Sus scrofa: one gene and its partners. The protein of the gene in region 4 purifies or fractionates together with the protein of the main gene of each other region. This does not show direct contact. Links are inferred from orthologs where the notes say so. Each region holds a gene or a part of one and is shown on either strand. Other genes may lie near its edges.

What was found.
Region 1: the proteins of HSPB1 (region 4) and DAXX purify together in Homo sapiens (affinity purification with western blotting; 3 studies listed by BioGRID and IntAct, with this or other methods). This does not show direct contact. The link is inferred for Sus scrofa from reciprocal best matches to the Homo sapiens genes HSPB1 and DAXX.
Region 2: the proteins of HSPB1 (region 4) and TGFB1I1 purify together in Homo sapiens (affinity purification with western blotting; 3 studies listed by BioGRID). This does not show direct contact. The link is inferred for Sus scrofa from reciprocal best matches to the Homo sapiens genes HSPB1 and TGFB1I1.
Region 3: the proteins of HSPB1 (region 4) and G6PD fractionate together in Homo sapiens (co-fractionation; 3 studies listed by BioGRID and IntAct, with this or other methods). This does not show direct contact. The link is inferred for Sus scrofa from reciprocal best matches to the Homo sapiens genes HSPB1 and G6PD.

What each region holds. Positions count from the first base shown.
Region 1 is NC_010449.5:29,678,340-29,682,427, forward strand, and holds the start of DAXX (death domain-associated protein 6), read right to left. Parts: upstream 2,807-4,088; 5' UTR 2,674-2,806; intron 2,603-2,673; exon of another isoform or gene 2,578-2,602; intron 2,142-2,577; exon of another isoform or gene 1,805-2,141; 5' UTR 1,753-1,804; coding exon 1,519-1,752; intron 1,379-1,518; coding exon 547-1,378; intron 427-546; coding exon 212-426; intron 53-211; coding exon 1-52. UniProt on the Homo sapiens protein: Transcription corepressor known to repress transcriptional potential of several sumoylated transcription factors. Down-regulates basal and activated transcription.
Region 2 is NC_010445.4:17,096,399-17,100,702, forward strand, and holds the start of TGFB1I1 (transforming growth factor beta-1-induced transcript 1 protein), read right to left. Parts: upstream 2,807-4,304; 5' UTR 2,580-2,806; coding exon 2,567-2,579; intron 2,343-2,566; exon of another isoform or gene 1,961-2,342; intron 1,940-1,960; exon of another isoform or gene 1,726-1,939; intron 1,655-1,725; exon of another isoform or gene 1,515-1,654; intron 1,323-1,514; exon of another isoform or gene 1,262-1,322; coding exon 1,161-1,261; intron 1,037-1,160; coding exon 984-1,036; intron 882-983; coding exon 739-881; intron 577-738; coding exon 489-576; intron 374-488; coding exon 268-373; intron 137-267; coding exon 1-136. UniProt on the Homo sapiens protein: Functions as a molecular adapter coordinating multiple protein-protein interactions at the focal adhesion complex and in the nucleus. Links various intracellular signaling modules to plasma membrane receptors and regulates the Wnt and TGFB signaling pathways.
Region 3 is NC_010461.5:125,038,235-125,042,247, reverse strand, and holds the start of G6PD (glucose-6-phosphate 1-dehydrogenase), read left to right. Parts: upstream 1-1,207; 5' UTR 1,208-1,227; coding exon of another isoform or gene 1,228-1,308; 5' UTR 1,309-1,560; coding exon 1,561-1,672; intron 1,673-1,799; exon of another isoform or gene 1,800-1,945; intron 1,946-2,497; coding exon 2,498-2,625; intron 2,626-4,013. Other genes in the region: IKBKG (NF-kappa-B essential modulator), read right to left, coding at 1,228-1,308. UniProt on the Homo sapiens protein: Catalyzes the rate-limiting step of the oxidative pentose-phosphate pathway, which represents a route for the dissimilation of carbohydrates besides glycolysis.
Region 4 is NC_010445.4:10,037,573-10,040,596, forward strand, and holds HSPB1 (heat shock protein beta-1), read right to left. Parts: upstream 1,870-3,024; coding exon 1,500-1,869; intron 843-1,499; coding exon 779-842; intron 692-778; coding exon 502-691; downstream 1-501. UniProt on the Homo sapiens protein: Small heat shock protein which functions as a molecular chaperone probably maintaining denatured proteins in a folding-competent state. Plays a role in stress resistance and actin organization.

The DNA of each region.
Region 1 (4,088 bases), on a different chromosome or scaffold from region 4:
TCTCAGCCTTGGAAGTGGTCGAGCACTCCTGGGAGGCCATCCCACTAGGGCCCTTCGGGGGACAAAGGAGTTTCTCTAAGGAATCCCTTGCCCCCTTGAGGGACTGGTTCTTGCATCCCTTCTGCACACTCCGCCATCAGTCCCAAGGACTCCCTCCTGGCCAGTGCAGGGGAAGGACAGGGTCTCTCTCAAGGGTGTGGCCCTTCCATACCTCGCCAGAATCCAAGGAGGCTTTGGGGGGTTCTGCAGAGTGGGCAGAGGTGGCCTGGGGGAGCCGAGCCCTTCTCTTCTGTCTCTCGCCCTCCTCACTCTTGTCTTGCATCATTGCATATTTGGAGATGACCTCATCCAGTCGGCTCATAGCCAAGCTCCGGTTCTCCCGCAGGCGCCGGGCTAGGACAGGATCTGACAGGGCAGGATCGACACCTGCATGGGAAGACATAGGTCAGAGCACTCACCCAGAATCCTAGAAGGAGGGACTCCAGAGAGCTTCCTCCAGCATAGGCCAACACACCAAGGGACTGGGGAGACCCTGCTAAGGCCTACCTGGCCTGTAGTCGTCTGTGAGGTGACAGCCGAAGTTGTAGATGAGATCGAGGTGGCGACGTTCCTGCAACCTGATGCCCACATCTCGGAAGGCATCCTGAGCCATGAGCTGGAGCTGCTGTCGGGGGAGGCCAAGGCTGTGCCGAGCAGCTGCCTTCTCGACAGCCCGAAGTACGTCTCCATAGTCAGGGAAGGTATCAGGCCCTGGCTTGTTGATGAGCCGCTCGATGCGCCTGTTCACCTCCGGGTAGCGGGTGCCCCGGTAGGGGATGCGCTGCTCTATGACCCGGCCCGTCAGAGAAGAGCATTCTTTGAGCTCACACAGCCGCCCAAAGAGGCGGATCAGCTTACGCTTCAGTCTGGCCTCCTGCAGGTAAGTGGAGTCCGGGTCGTCCAGTTCTGAGAGATCCAGCTCCTTTTCCTGCAGCCGCCGGATCTCTGCCACATAGAGCGCAAGAAGCTGCTCCAAGCGCTGGATCTGCCGCCGGGAACCACGGGTCCTTGGGGCCTCAGAGGCAGTGGTCTCAGCATTTATGGGGTCCGAGGAGGGGCCTGTGGGGGGGTCATTCCCGGAGGGCTCACTAGAGGTGGTGGCAGCAGGGGCCAGGTTCATCTTCTTCTTGGCCGAGTTGGCCTTGAGAACAGTGCAGAGCTCGTTAATGTAGACATAGAGCTTGGCGGGCCGGCTCTGAGCCCGGGAAAGGACCCGAGAGAGGATGTTGTGGAACTCCGCCGAGGCCAAAAACAGTGAGTGGGCCCGCTGCTGCCGGCTAGAGAGGAACGGGACCACCTCAGGGTGGTCTGCTGTCTGCCTCCTACACAGTTCAAGGAACTGGAAGGTTCACGGGGAAAGGGACAAGGGATGGGTTGAGAGAAAGAAGGCGAGGTGGGGTTAGTGGGGAAGACAAGACAAGAGAGCCAGTCGGCCAGCCCCCTCCCTGGAGTACAAGAATCCTCTCCCCTAAAGCTCACCTCTTTAAACAGCTTCTCATTCTCCAACTTGTAGCATTTCTTGCCGCCCGAACTACTGCCTCCTCCAGCCCCATGGGGCTGGGAGGAGCCAGGGGCTTCTGCCCTGGGTGAGGCTGGAATGGGGGCTGCCCTGGGTGAGGCTGGGTTGGGGGGTGGGTGGGAGGGCCCTGGCTGAGCAGCTGCTTCATCTTCGTCATCATCATCCAGCACGATGATGCTGTTAGCGGTGGCCATGGGGGATCAAATCCCCCGGAGGGAGGAAGTGGTGGGGTTTTCGTGATTCCTGCTGGAAGGGGACGGGGCCTCAGAAAGAGCCCCTCCAGCAGAGCCCCATCCCTTCATCTCACACATTTTTGTCTTCTTGGTTTTCAAAAACACCCAGCCATGCCCAACAGTGTCCTCACTGCCTGTCTTCAGCAACCATTAGTACCGTGTTTTTCTGTCCCTTTACTACGAGAGCCCCAAACCCTCGGAAAACCTGAAGTCCCACCCCCAGCTCCACCCCTCACGTCGACATCCGGTCTTTCGGTTGCATTTCCCCACTATTTCTCATAGGTGGCAAGTTGATTCTTCTCAACCCCGGACCACCTCTCACACTGCACTCCAGATTTCCTCGACACCCCCTGGAACAGATACCACACCCTCGTTGGCACCACCTCCCCGTGTCCCCCTTCCGCTCTCCCACAGGTTCGCCCCGTCCTGTAGGATCACCCCAACTCCCAGCCTCTCCGAGGCGAGGGTTGGTCCTCCCCACATCCACTCCCCTTTCTCCTGCCAAGACCACCTCCCTACCCCGCCCTCCGGTGGGTCTCCTCCAGCCGGGGCGGCAGTCGGAGATAGCTCGGCTCCAGTCCCCTCTCTCTCACACCAACCCGAGCCTCCCCATTCTCTCCGTGTGACCTGTAAGCGACCGTGGGCCCCACACTGGTCTCTCCTGCTTGCTCTCACACTCTAGTCCTGAGGCCGGCCCTGCCCCCGGAGGAGCTTCCCGCCAAGTCCCCCTCCCCCAGTTCAGCCCCCGGCCCCCCCACACCCCTTCAGGGATAGTAAGGAAGGTACCTCAGCCTGCCCCTCAGACTCAACGCCCAGGACTCCCGAGTACCTCGACCTCGACATTCCCGCCCCGCCTTCGCCCCCCGCACCGCCCGGCCCCACCTCAGAAACGGTCTCTCGAGGCGACACTCGCCGCGGATCTCAGAACCTCGCATGGTTCCCTCCGCCTTCCTTCCCCCTCCCACCGCAGGCCCTACTCCGGACCGGAAGCGGCGGAGTTTCCGCCTACAGGCTCCTGGGTGCGGCCATGTTGCCGTACGGATCCCAGTCTCCCCAGTGGCCGGAAGTGACAGTAGGCCCGCCTCCTCGAGCACCTCCAGTGCCGCCCACATAGTCTGAGGCGCCTTTCTCCCTGACCTGCAGGGGGCGGATTTGCGCCCCTCCATCCCCCATTCGGGGCCTCTCAAGGTACATGCGGGCCGCCATTTTCCCGTACGGCGTTGGCTACGCCCCGAGTGGGGGCGCGCCGCCAGTGAAGCTCTTTTCACCCGGTGCTTCTGCGACTCGGCCAATCAGAAGCTTCCCGCAGCCGGCCAACCGCCAGCGCGTCGCGTGCGGGGAGGACAGAGCCACCTTCCCAAGGGGGGGGGGGGGGGTACGGAACAGAGCAGCAAAGGAATTGAGCCCTCCGAGGCTGCACAGGGATGCACGGAATGGGGGGAGCCTCTTGAGAGGAAAATAAAACCTTTTCCATCCGCGGCGCTATTGACAAGCCCTCTGGCGCCGATTTCCTACCTGCCAGGTACCAGTTTCCCTGGCTTAATCGACTGTACCTGCCATTCCCTTCTATGGGCCCGCTCTCCTTTTCGCTGTCCAGCTGCTACTTCTACCGACAGGTGCCTACTTCGCCCAATTGCGAAGTCCTAACACGGGATACAAATGAGCACCACGAGCTGTACAAATGTGTTTTATTATTATTGTTATTGTTGCTGGTTTGCTTTCCACTACAGAACTATTGGCCAACCAAGTAGGTAGAATCTAGGTGGTTCTACGACGTCTTTTCTGGAGGAGGTCCCCGAGGCGGAGGCGATGATGGCCGGGAGGCCGGGCTTTGTCCAGAAGCTCCAGGGCCTGAGGACGGGCGTTGTGAGGAGGAGGAGGCTCTGAGGAGAATCTGCAGATTGCCGCTGTATGGACTGTGAGACGAAATGAGGCTCGTAAAAGGCCTCGGAGTCTCGTCTTTTCTTCTGGAAGTGCTGATGAAAGAACAAAAAGAGAAGAAACCAACTTTGACGCCCGCCTCGCCTGGACCCCCACCTAGCCCAGCTTTAGGGAAGCTGGAGGGACTCACGGAAGCAAAGCTGGGTCCAAAGGTGAACTTCTGGGGAAACCAAAAAGTTAACACCGGTCCAGTCGCTGAGTTTCCCACCTCTTGGATCCCTGCATACTCCACAAATGTTGGGCATCTTGCCACTTTATTTTCTTGTTGCACATTTAAAGATAAATTTTATTAAAATATAGCAGAAGAGTTTCCGTAGTGGCTCAGTGGTTAACAGACCCCACTAGTCCCCATGAGG
Region 2 (4,304 bases), about 7.1 Mb from region 4:
CGCGGCGGCTGAGGTCAGACTGAAGCAACCCCAGCATGGTGTCTAGGCTGCCCTGGCTAGTGGGCCCTGGTGGGGATGGGGAGCCCTCATTCACGGAGCTTGGCACTGCTGGCTGGGTTGGCCCAGAGGCTGGAAGCTGCAGCAGGGAGGACAGGAGAGCTGAGTTAGCAAGGCAGCAGATGTGGGCACGTCTAAAATGGGTTGGGAGCCACACACCCACACTGGCCTACCACCTCCTCCCCTCGCCCCCCCCCCCACCTGACTCACGTGGTTCTGGACACGGAAGTCAGAGAGTGAGGCCATCAGTCTGTCTAGCTCCAGGGTGGCCGAGGTGGCCGAAGGCTTTGGGAGAACAGGGGTTGGGCTGGGAGGGCTGTGAAGAACAAAACTGTGTCAACCCAGAGCCTCAGAGTCACGCTTCCTCTAGTAACGCGGGCATCCAGGATGCATCACCACTCTCCCAGCCCTGTCAACTAGGCCAAACTCACGGGCTGGGCCTTTTCTTGTCCTCAGAGGGGTCCTCCTTCTTCTCCCCTGCAGATTCCTTGCTAGATGGGAACTGGGACATTATTTCATCTGCAGAGAGGAGAGAAGGGCACTGGGCATGGGCTATGCCCTAGCCTCCCTCCCATTTAAGGCTTGTGTCCCTTTAGCTGCTACTCTGGGAAGTCTATACCCCTTAGTCTCTGCTCTGCCCTGCCCCCATCCCATCAAATCCAGTCTCAGTAACCCTGGTACCTGTGATGTTGAACTGAGTAGCATTAAGTTCCTGAAGCAATCGGTCTAGCTCACAGAGACCCGTGCCCAAGACACCACAGGAAGAGGAGAACGGAGGGGCCGCAGGAGCCGCAGGCTTCGGGGACCGGGGCTTGCATACCGTACTGGGAAACAGGGTGGTAGCCTGGGTTCAGGGGTGGGGAATCCAAGCCTCCTCACCTGGAGTCTCCATTGGCTCCCCATTCCCCAGTTCCCAGCCTCCTCACCTGTACAGATGGTCCTTGTCCCCAGAGGCTCCTGAAGACTCCCCAGAGCCCATCTGCAGAGAAGACATAGGCATGGGATGATAGGCCTGAATTTGGCTCCACTCAGGCCCAGATTCCCTTTGCCCCCGCCAAACCCAGCCCTGGTGGTTGCCCCAGTACCCCAGCATCTGATCTCACCTGTGGCAGAGGAGACGTGAGGGGCTCCGGGGGTCGCTCTTTTAGAGCCCCTGACCTTGGCATGTGTGAGGTTGTGGTCTCCAGGTCAGAGAGCAGGGCATCTGCAGGAAGAGGCCGTCAGGGTGAGAGGTTGAGAGGTCAAGGTTAGGGCAGAGACAGGGCCTTAAGAGATCAGAAATAAGTGTTCTAAGTGGGAAGTAGTTGAGGAGGACAGAAGCCAGTTTTAAGAAGAGACGTCAAGAGTCAGAAGGAAACAAAGGCCAGACCAAGGCAGAGATGTAGGACAGCAAGGAATAAGTATGATCAGAAGAGCCCATATCGCTCATCCTAGGAGTCATTTACAAACTCGGCCACCTGATTCGCTTATTCTCCAAATCTTCTCTAATGCAGTCAAAATTGGCTCTTTATTGGAGTCAAATTTGGCTCCACCCCAAATTGCTCAATTGGCTGTATGCCTGGCACCAGCTTCCTGATTGGATGTCCTTTCTGCCCAACCCCCTACACCTAAAGAGGCCCCTCCCAACTCTGGCCCACCTCCAGACCCGCTGGGCCCCACACTATACACCTCATTGGTGAGTCTGCTCGGATCTTCTTTCTGATTGGCCTATTCTTCACAGAGCCAGCGCCTGTTACCCTTGCTGAACAGCACCCCCTACTGCATGGTGCTGGAACCCCTTCTCTTCTTCTAGCCCTACTTGCAACAGACAGGGAGGATGCAGATGCCTGGGTCATCTTTCCTTTCCCCAAAGAGACAGAAACACACACACACACACACACACACACACACAACACACACACACCTCCTCATCCACAGATACAGATCCTTCGAACCTTTTGCCTTCTAGAATCTAGAAGTCTCTGGCCCTTTACTCTTCACCTCTGAATACCTTGGTGAAACCCTTAACCTCTCCCTGGCATCTTGGCACCCATCTATTATACTTTCTGCCCCAAGGATCTGACCCCTTCCTTACTACTTAAGGGCCCTTAACTCTTTCCTTCCCCAAATCCTAGGGCAAGCCCATTTTCTTCTCCAGAACGTGATGTCAGATTCTCCCTTCTCTACTTTCCAAGTCCCTGGACCCGAGGTCCCTTTAACCCCTCCCTTCCCAGAGCTCCTGAGCTTAGGAGCCCACAGGCGCTGCACCTCCCTGCCCATCTGTCTGCAGCCAGTGATGGAGGAGCCGAGCGGGGGGAAGAAGGGAGGGAGCGGCCAGTCTGGGAAAGGCAGGAAGGGAGAGGCAGGAAGGGGGACGTGGAGTCGGAAAGGAGGCGCCGGCAGACACCAGAAGCGAGAAGACAGGAGGCAGGGATGGGGAGATGCCGGGAGTGCAGGGGGCTCCAGGATAGGAAAGCGGATCTAGGCAGTGGTGAGGGACTGGGGACAAGGGGACCCGGGCCCCACTCACCCAGGTCCTCCATGACGGGGCGCGGGCCGACCGCGCGCGGGGCGAGCAGGGCGGGGGCCGTGTCCGGTGGGGGCGGGGGTGGGGGGACGTCCGGGAGCTGGAGGCCCAGCCGTGACCATGTAAGGAAGCCGGGACCCGCTGGGATAGGGCTGCGGGGGGAGGGGGGGCAATGAACGGGAGAACCCGGGGTGGGGGCCTGGGAGGGAAGGAGGGCCCTGCCCACCCGGGCCCAGCCTGCCCGCCTCGGAGGCGGCCACACCCCAGCCTTGGCCTCAGCTGCAGGGAGCCCCAGGCGGCCAGAGCCCGAGTAAGAAAAGTGGCTCTTTTCCAGACCAAGCCCAGGATCATCTGCCCAGCAATACTTTTACACACAGACTGAGGCCCCCAAACTGACAGCACTCAAAACTAGCACCCAGGGTCTAGACAGAGCTCCCCTCCCACCCAGGCTGCTCCTGGAGGTCTGCTTCAGACAGATTTTCTTGGAGGCAGAGAAGGATCAGTCAGACCCCAGGTTCAGAGGCCTTCCCTTAGAGACTGTGACAATGACATAAACAGATCCCAAAAGTCAGACACGTGAGACACAAGGAAATTTTCCAGAGACAGAGACAGATGATACAACAAACCCACAGACCCCAAGCCATAGAGTTGGAAACAGACATATAGACACAGGAACAAAGAAACCTAGGCCCAAGCCCTGTGCAGACTGAGGGCAAACACTTCCTGGCAACCAGACCCCGACCAGACCCCAAGCAGCCTTCCCCAACACCGAGATGACCCAGACCTGTCCCCAAAGAGCCCTTTCCCAAGATACTGATGCACATAGACAGGAAAGCTGAACACAGCCTCCAGCAGCAAATCAGAAAAGCCTGGGAGCTTTTTCAACCTATGCCCAAGTTGCCCTGACCTCAGTTCAATTCAGTCTGAAAGGGCCTGGCATCTGTACATATAAAAAGCTCTCTGTGTGGTTCTAAAGCTCAGCTGAAGAACAGAGATCTGGACACTCCCAGAGGCACAGGGGTGGCAAGAGGCAACCTTGGCTCCCTAGAAACTGGCGAGCAGGCCCAGTCTGGGCACTTTCTTTGAAATCAGGCTGCCGCCTAAGTGGCCAGTGAGCTGGCAGCCAGGTTACGAAGACCCCGCCTGGGCAACTAAAACGACACGAGCCCTTCCTTCACCTGGATGTCAGCCTAGGGCTCGGGCTCCCTCTGGGCATGACTAAGGGCCTTAGGGACTTGAAGAACACAGTAGGTCTTCCCTCACCCAAACAGCAGGACAAATGGACCCAGAGACCGTAGGCCCAAGATGGGGGAATGGCACGAGGAAACAGTAAGGCCTGGGTCCGAGATGTACCCTCCCCATCCCCTTGGTACAACCCTCGTAGCTTTGATCGAGTGTCTAGCTGGATGGCTGCCTGAGCAATGAAGTAGCATGAGCTGAAAGCAGGCTTCCCCTGGGGCCCCAAACCATATCCTCAAGGAGAAGCCTGGAAACTTGACCGCATCCCAGGGCTCCAGGAACCAGTGCACAAGTATTTTTTAAGTTCCTCTGAGAGTGATCTGTATGGAGACACAGAGACCTGGAGAAGACGCTGCTCGAGGGGTGAAGGGGTCGGGGGACTCCCCTAGGAAAGTGAGCAGAGACACCACATGATGGGGGTAGTCACCTCCAAGTTTTTAATTTCAACTCCAGAAAGCTGGGCTAAGCCAAGTGCCCGGGCCCTGGGCTGTTGTTCTCTATC
Region 3 (4,013 bases), on a different chromosome or scaffold from region 4:
GTGAATATACTGAAAAGCAGTGAATTGTTCACTTTCAATGGGTGAATTGTGTGGTATGTGAATTATATGTCAATAAAGCTATTTTTGAAAATAAGAGATTATGAGGGGTATAAATTAAGCAAAGGTAGCAACAGGTTGATAACTGTTGACGCTGGGAGGTGGGTACCTTGGGTTTATACTATCCTTTCTACTTTTGCACATCTTTGGTATTTTTCACAATAAAACGATCCGAGCCCCATCATCTCTCACCTGGATAACTGCAATAACCTCCTAGCAGATCACCTTGCTCCAACCCTTGCCCCCTACGTACAGTCTGTTCTACCCACCGCGCCAGAACAATCAGACCAAAAGGTAATTCCTACCACGTCTCTCCTCTATCCAGATCCCTACCATAGTTCCTCATGGCCCTCCGCCAAAAAGCCACAACCCGTACAACAAGATAGTAGGCCGTGCACTATCTGGTCCCCCATTGCTTCCTCTCTAACTATTCCCCCCTCGCTCACTCTATTCCAGGTATAGTGGCCTCCTTATGGCCCATTCATCCTCAAGTCACAGAACTGATATGAGGTCCGGCAGACATTAACCGTTGTGCAAAGTGAGCAAAATGAAGCGCATGAGGAAAGATGCTTAGCTGTCAAATTACCCTTGAGGCTTTTTTAAAGAACTTAACAACTTCAAATGTAGTCAAGTTCGATGAACAGAAAATGTCTCCGAAGTAGAATAGTCATCCACGAACTAGGGGTGTGGTCAGACTCCGCCGCGGCAGAGGAAGGAGAGGCGAAAACTGCCCCGCTCGTCGCCAGAGTAACCTGGGTCCTGAATTGGCCAGCCTCGGCGGGTGATCTAGAAGCGGGCGGCAGAACCGGGCCGGGGCCCAATAGGAGGGGAAAGCCTGGTCGTCCAGGGGGGGTCTCGGAGGTGGCGGAACGCCCACCAATAGTACCCTATCTTCGGAGAAGAGGACCACACCTGTCAGCAGAGTCGGTCCGACGTGAGAAGGGCGGGAGCGGCGGGTCCCGAGCGCTCCTCGGACCCCGGCGCTCGGAGAAAGTTCGGGTTCCGCGGTCGCCCTTCCCTTCTCGGGCTGCCAAATTCCCATTTCCTGCTTCCGGTGTCGTAGCTGTGGGATCCGGAAGTAAAACACTCACACTCCGCCCCCACCCCGCCCCCAGCAGGCCCGCGAGAGGCGCGAGGGAGACTTGTCCCCAGACGGAAGCCCGAGCGTACCAGGCTCGGCTGGCCCGTAGGACACTCTTCAATAATATGCGTCGCGACCCGCATTTCCCCTTGTCTCTCCGGCGGCGGCATCCAGCGAGCGGCAGGTCGGCTGCCCCGCCCCCACTAGGGGAGGAGCCACGACGAGGCTATCATGTGATAGGGCCAGTTTGATCGGAGTCGACGACCCGTCCAGTGAGGGGGCGAGGCTAAAGAGGGCCCCGCCTACAAGTGGGGTCGAGGGGCGTGACCACGCTGCCGGCGGAAGTGGAGCCCTTCTTGAGGGCGCAGGACAACCCCGGGCTGACGAGAAAGCCAGACTGTAGGGGCGGGGCCAGGCCAGGGATGGGAACGCGGGCGAGCTGTGGGGAGCTGCACACGGACTCGCGAAGCATCGGGGACACGGCGCAGCGGCGGCGAGGACAGCAGGGGGCCCGCAGCCCGGCGGCCGGCGCAGGTGCTCAAGGGGCGGAGCGGGTCAGGCCGGCAGGCCTCGCGCGGGAGCGGGGGGGGGGGGGTCCCACCGGCCCGAGATGCGCGCGCACCTGCCTCGCCCCGCCTCTCGGGGGAGGGGCACACGGAGGCCCCGCCCGCGCGCCTCGCCTGAGGCTGGTCAGCTCAGACCAGGTGCCCGCCCCCGCCAGTTAAATGGGCAGGCGGGGCGCAGCCCCAGGAAACTGCCGGGAACTCCGGGGCTGCGAGCGCGAAGGGCAGCAGCGGTGAAGCACAGGTAACTGAGTGGGCGAACGCTTTGATTTGCCACGCTTGGGAAGGGGGCAAAATCGAGAGGGTGTTAACTGATCTAACCGTCCCCTGCATACCCCCATTGGGCCCCTGAGGGGACCCCGAGAGGGGCGGGGATTGGCCGGGGTCTCCCAGCGGTGGTGGAGGAGGACTAGATCTACACTGTCAGCTGCTTGATCTAACTTGCTCCAGCTCATTGAGGAGCTTCCGCCTGAATCCTTGGTGAGATGGCCTTAGCAGGTGGTCCGATGTTCCAGCTTGGTGTTACTCCCCCAGAGCTGAGGCCCTCGTTGGAGTCCACTAATGCTTAGAGTAATGTTGTAATGTACACGCTGAAAGAAGGCTGTCTGGAGAGTATGACCAGAGCCAGCAGTTTCTCATCCCCCAACCATCCTGCTCGCAGCCATTCCCACCAAGTGGTTTCAGTAATCAGGCATCAGCTGGACGAGAGCCCAAAGGACTCCTCCAGAAAGGGGCCAGCCAGCTTCTCAGTGCTTTCCGGTTCTCCTGCCTCATCAATAAGTTTTTTTTCCTCCAGAGAGTACCATGGCAGAGCAGGTGGCTCTGAGCCGGACCCAAGTGTGCGGGATCCTGCGGGAAGAGCTGTACCAGGGCGATGCTTTCCATCAGTCGGATACACATATCTTTATCATCATGGGAGCATCGGTGAGTCTCCCCCAGGCCCCACATCTTAAATGCAGCAGACTTAGAGCAGGACATGGCTTAGGTCCCTTCCCTCTCCGTGCCTGGGCTCGCCCACCTGCTTGTTATAGGGCCTCTCCAGCTCTGCTTGGCTGGGCTCTCCCTCCTGCTCTTGCGCCACTATCACCCCAGCACCCCCTGGTGTAGGCGTATTGCAAGGCCTTGCTGAAGTCTGTGTGCAGCCATTGGCTGCAGCCTCATGCCCTGGAGCCCGGAGGTCCGCAGGGGCTGTGTGCTTGGACTTCCTCCTCCGTGGGGAAAAGTGAGAGGCAAACAGGGGAAGCTGTTCATTCTGGGAGTGTGTTTTCCAAACTCGCGTCTGACTTGGTAAACGGCGTGAAGTCAGTTTAGTTCCAGAGGTAGGATCTGAGGTCTGATCTCCACCTTGTGTCTGCCACGTCAGGTTCCGTGAGGACAAACACTCAACTTTGCTTTGAGCAGCATCTCTTTGCCCCAGCTTCTAGGGCCTGCTCAGGAGCTACGACCAGCCCCATTGTCTAGCCAGTGGACCTGCCATTTTGCTCTGATCAGAAAGGCCAAAGAGTAGACACAGAAGGGGGTGGCTCCTCAGAGAGCCATGACCCGCAGCCTAAACTCCCTCTGCATGCCGTGCCGTGCGACCCAAGCTCTCCCATGGGGCAAGACGCAGGCGGCCTGCTGGGGTTTCCTGTGCAAGTGATCTGTGTCCTCTTTTCCCTCTTAACCTTGGATGTGACCAAGAATCTGCTACCCGTGGCATCCACTGCTTTGCGGGTAACTTACTGTATAGACCTTGAGCGAGAGTCCTACCGGAACTCCTTAGCTCTTGACAGGGCAGGCCACTGTCCCTCTGTGCCTTCCACGCTGCTGTCCTCTCAGCTCTGGGGAACTCACCGCCTGCTCCCTGCCGACTTTGTGATTCTGGGCAGGACTTGGAAAAGGAGAGCCAGAAGGCGAAGGCTACCTTAAGCACTATCCCTTGAACCTTTGTCACCCGGCGACTGGGGGGTGCGCAGGAGGAACACACAGGGGGACAGGCTTATCCTGCACCCTGGCCCCAGCCCGGTCCGCTTAGAGGAGCCTCAAACCTTAACACTTGGAACTCTGACCATTCGGCCCTTCATCCAAGAACCCGGATGGTTTTTCCTCCTTCCTCCATCCCCACCCCAGCCTGTCGCAGGCCTCCGGAAGTGGCCCGTGGCCCCAGGCGCTGCGCCTCGCCGAGAGCAGCCAGGTGTGACCTGGGCCAAGTGTCTTTTCCCTCGTTGTCTCCACTTATCGACTGAGGGCTTTTGAAACAAGTGCCCAGGGCCCTGCGGAGCCGACCCTCTGACCCCTGGTGGCCTTCTCTTGTGGCCTGGCTCTGGGTTAGG
Region 4 (3,024 bases):
CTCCCATCCCGTCTTTGCGGTCCTGCTCTTCTCCGTGGAGATGAGGAGGTTATGATGCGGTCAGGAAGGAACCCTGAGCTGCCGGGACGTCCCCCTCCCTCGCCCCCTGCCCAGGTGTCCTGAGTGCCTCGGCCGGGTGCCTCTCCTGGCGTCCCTGCTCCCACACTGGCCCCGGGGGCTTTAACTGCCGCATAAACAGTCTCTCCCTCAACAAGGGACTGGAGGGCAGGGCTGTGCCCTGTGATGGACGCAGCACGCACAGGGGCCAGCACAGGGCTTGGCACACAGGAGGCCCTCGGCAAACGTGATGAGTGCGTGAACCAGGAGTGACGCCTGAGCCTCCACAAGCACACCAGGGTCTGAGACAGTGGCGGGCAGTTGCTTTGAACTTTATTCGAGAAAAACAGAAGGTAGACGTATCAAAAGAGCACAGAGAGTTGGCAGGTGGGGATGGCTGGTGCGGGTTTGGGCGGGGGGCGGTGAGCAGCAGGGCGAAGGCCTTTACTTGGTTCCGGGCTTTTCCGACTTTCCAGCTTCTGTGCCCCCAAGCTGGGCCCGCGCCTCGAAAGTGACAGGGATGGTGATCTCTGCCGACTGGGTGGCTGGCTTGGGCAGCGGGGCCTCCACGCTGAGCGTGCCCTCAGGGGACAGGGAGGAGGAGACCTGGGTGGGGTCCACACCGGGGGGCAGCCTGGACAGGGAGAGGCAGGACAGGAGTGACCCACGGTGCGTCCCTGGGCCCTCCCCACCCCCCACCCCACCCGGAGCCAGGACTCACGTGTATTTTCGAGTGAAACACCGGGAAATGAAGCCGTGCTCATCCTGCCGCTCCTCGTGCTTGCCTGGGTGGGGGAGGGAGGTCAGAGGAGGCCTGAAGGGGCCGGCGCTCCCGCTGGCCCACAGCCAGCCGAGCCCCACCCGGTGGCCAGAACGCTTGCCAGGAGAGGACTAAGGGATGTGGGTACCCCAGACCTGTCCCGGGACCTCAGAAGCTTCTGGAAAGTTCGGTTCCAGGAGTCTGGGGCTGGGGCGTGGGGCAGCAGCCATGGGCACGCACACACGCCCCCTCCGAGGACCTGGACTAGGGATGGGGAGGAAGTGCGTGCGTGTGCGTGCGCGTGTCGGGGGAGGGGGTCGCCCTTGCCACACCAACTGCAGGCCGGGGGCCGGGGGCCGGGGGGGGGCGGCGCGGCGCGGGGAGACCTGGTCCCTCGCGGATGGCGTTGGGGCTGAGGGCGTCTCCGCTGGAAGGGGGCGTTTCTTCCCTGACTGGAGAGCTTTTAGGGCCAAAAGATCCCTTAGGACTTAGGAGCACCCCCCCCAAAGTCCAGGGAAGCAGGCACAGGCCAGGGGCAGGGCGAAGAGGCCAGGCCGGCTCCCCGGGCTCTGGCCCCGTCCTCGGCTAAGTTTCCATTTTCCAGGGCTCCTCCCCGGAAAGAGCGCGAGAGGCAGCGCGGGAGGGGCGGGGGGTGGGCGCGTCCCGGTCCCCGGGGGCTCACCCGTGATCTCCACCACGCCGTCCTTGGTCTTGACCGTCAGCTCCTCGGGGGCGAAGTGGTTGACGTCCAGGGAGACGCGCCAGCGGTCGGCAGTCTGCTGGATCTCCGAGACGCCGCTGCTGAGCTGCCTGCTGAGCAGGCGGCTGTAGGCGGGCGCGGCCACTGCGGCGGGGCCCTCGATGGCGGGCGGGGGCAGCGGGCGCACGTAGCCCGGCCAGCCGCTGTGGCTCAGCCACTGCGACCACTCCTCGGGCAGCCGGGGCAGCCCGAAGGCCTGGTCGAAGAGGCGGCTGTGGGCCGGGTACCAGTCGCGGAAAGGGTCCCAGCTGGGGCTCCGCAGGAGCGAGAAAGGCACACGGCGCTCAGTCATGCTGGCTGCGCTGGCTGGACGCGTCCGGCTGCGGCTGGGAGAAGGGGAGTTAGTGTCGGTGGGCCGAGCCCGCAGCGCTTTTATAATGGGCCAGCCGGGTATTTTTAGCAGGCGGTGTTTCAGGTCTCTATTAATGGCAATGACTGGCTGGGGGCAGCCCCTCCCCCTGCATTCCCCCAACTGCATACCGGGGCGCGGGGCGGGGCGAGGGAGGCCCTGCCCACATCTGGAACCTTCTCCTGTTTGAGAAAACAAATGACTGTAGCCCCGATGCTGGTGCAGTGCCCGCTGCCTAACACTGGCAGATTTCGGCGCTAAAGCGCTGGGCCGCAGCCTGTGGACAGTCCTGGCTTTTTGTGCAAGAGGACAAAGCCGAGGGAGTGGTCGCGCTGCTCGGGGCCACACAGCAGGGACTGGCAGAGCAGGGAGATGGACCACAGGGTGTCTGTGAAATAATGGCTTAAGAAGCAACATGGTGAGGAGTGTGGGCCTGAGAGTCCAGACTGTGTGAGTTCACATCCTGGTCCTGCCACTCACTGGATGAACTTGTACAAGTGAGAGTCTTTGTGCCTCAGTTTCGCCACCGGGAAAATGGGGGTGATGATGATGACAATGCTTCCGTCCCTGAGTTGGTGTGAGGATTCGGCAGCTTAATGCGAGTGAAGGTTTTAGTCCAGGGCCTGGTGGGTGACCGTTACTGTCAGCCACCTGGAGTTGCAGGGCACAGACGGAGGAAGCGGAGCTCAGAGGCAGCAGCATGTGGACGTTTGGGCGATGTCCCCCGGACCCCCTAGTAGGGGAGACCCAGACCAGAAACCCTGAGGCCTAGTGTTGAAAGGGGGTCAGGAGGGAGGTTATTGTCAAAACTCCCCATTGTATCCACTTTGCCTTGAGCTGGGGACAGGGAACCTGAGATGCAGCGGCCTTGAATCTAGTCTGGGCTTTGGCTTGGGCCAAGGCCCCTCCTTTCCCTTTTTACAGATTATGACCTCAGAGCCCTTTTGTTTAGCATTCCCACAGCACAGAGGGAGAGGGGCTCTAGGCAGTGCAATTCCTGCACACTTGCTGGGAGCCTGAGGCCTGCTCCTTGACCCCACCTCCTGGGTGAGCACCTGTGGGATCCAGGCCTCCACTCCCACCTCCCGTAGGGTCTGG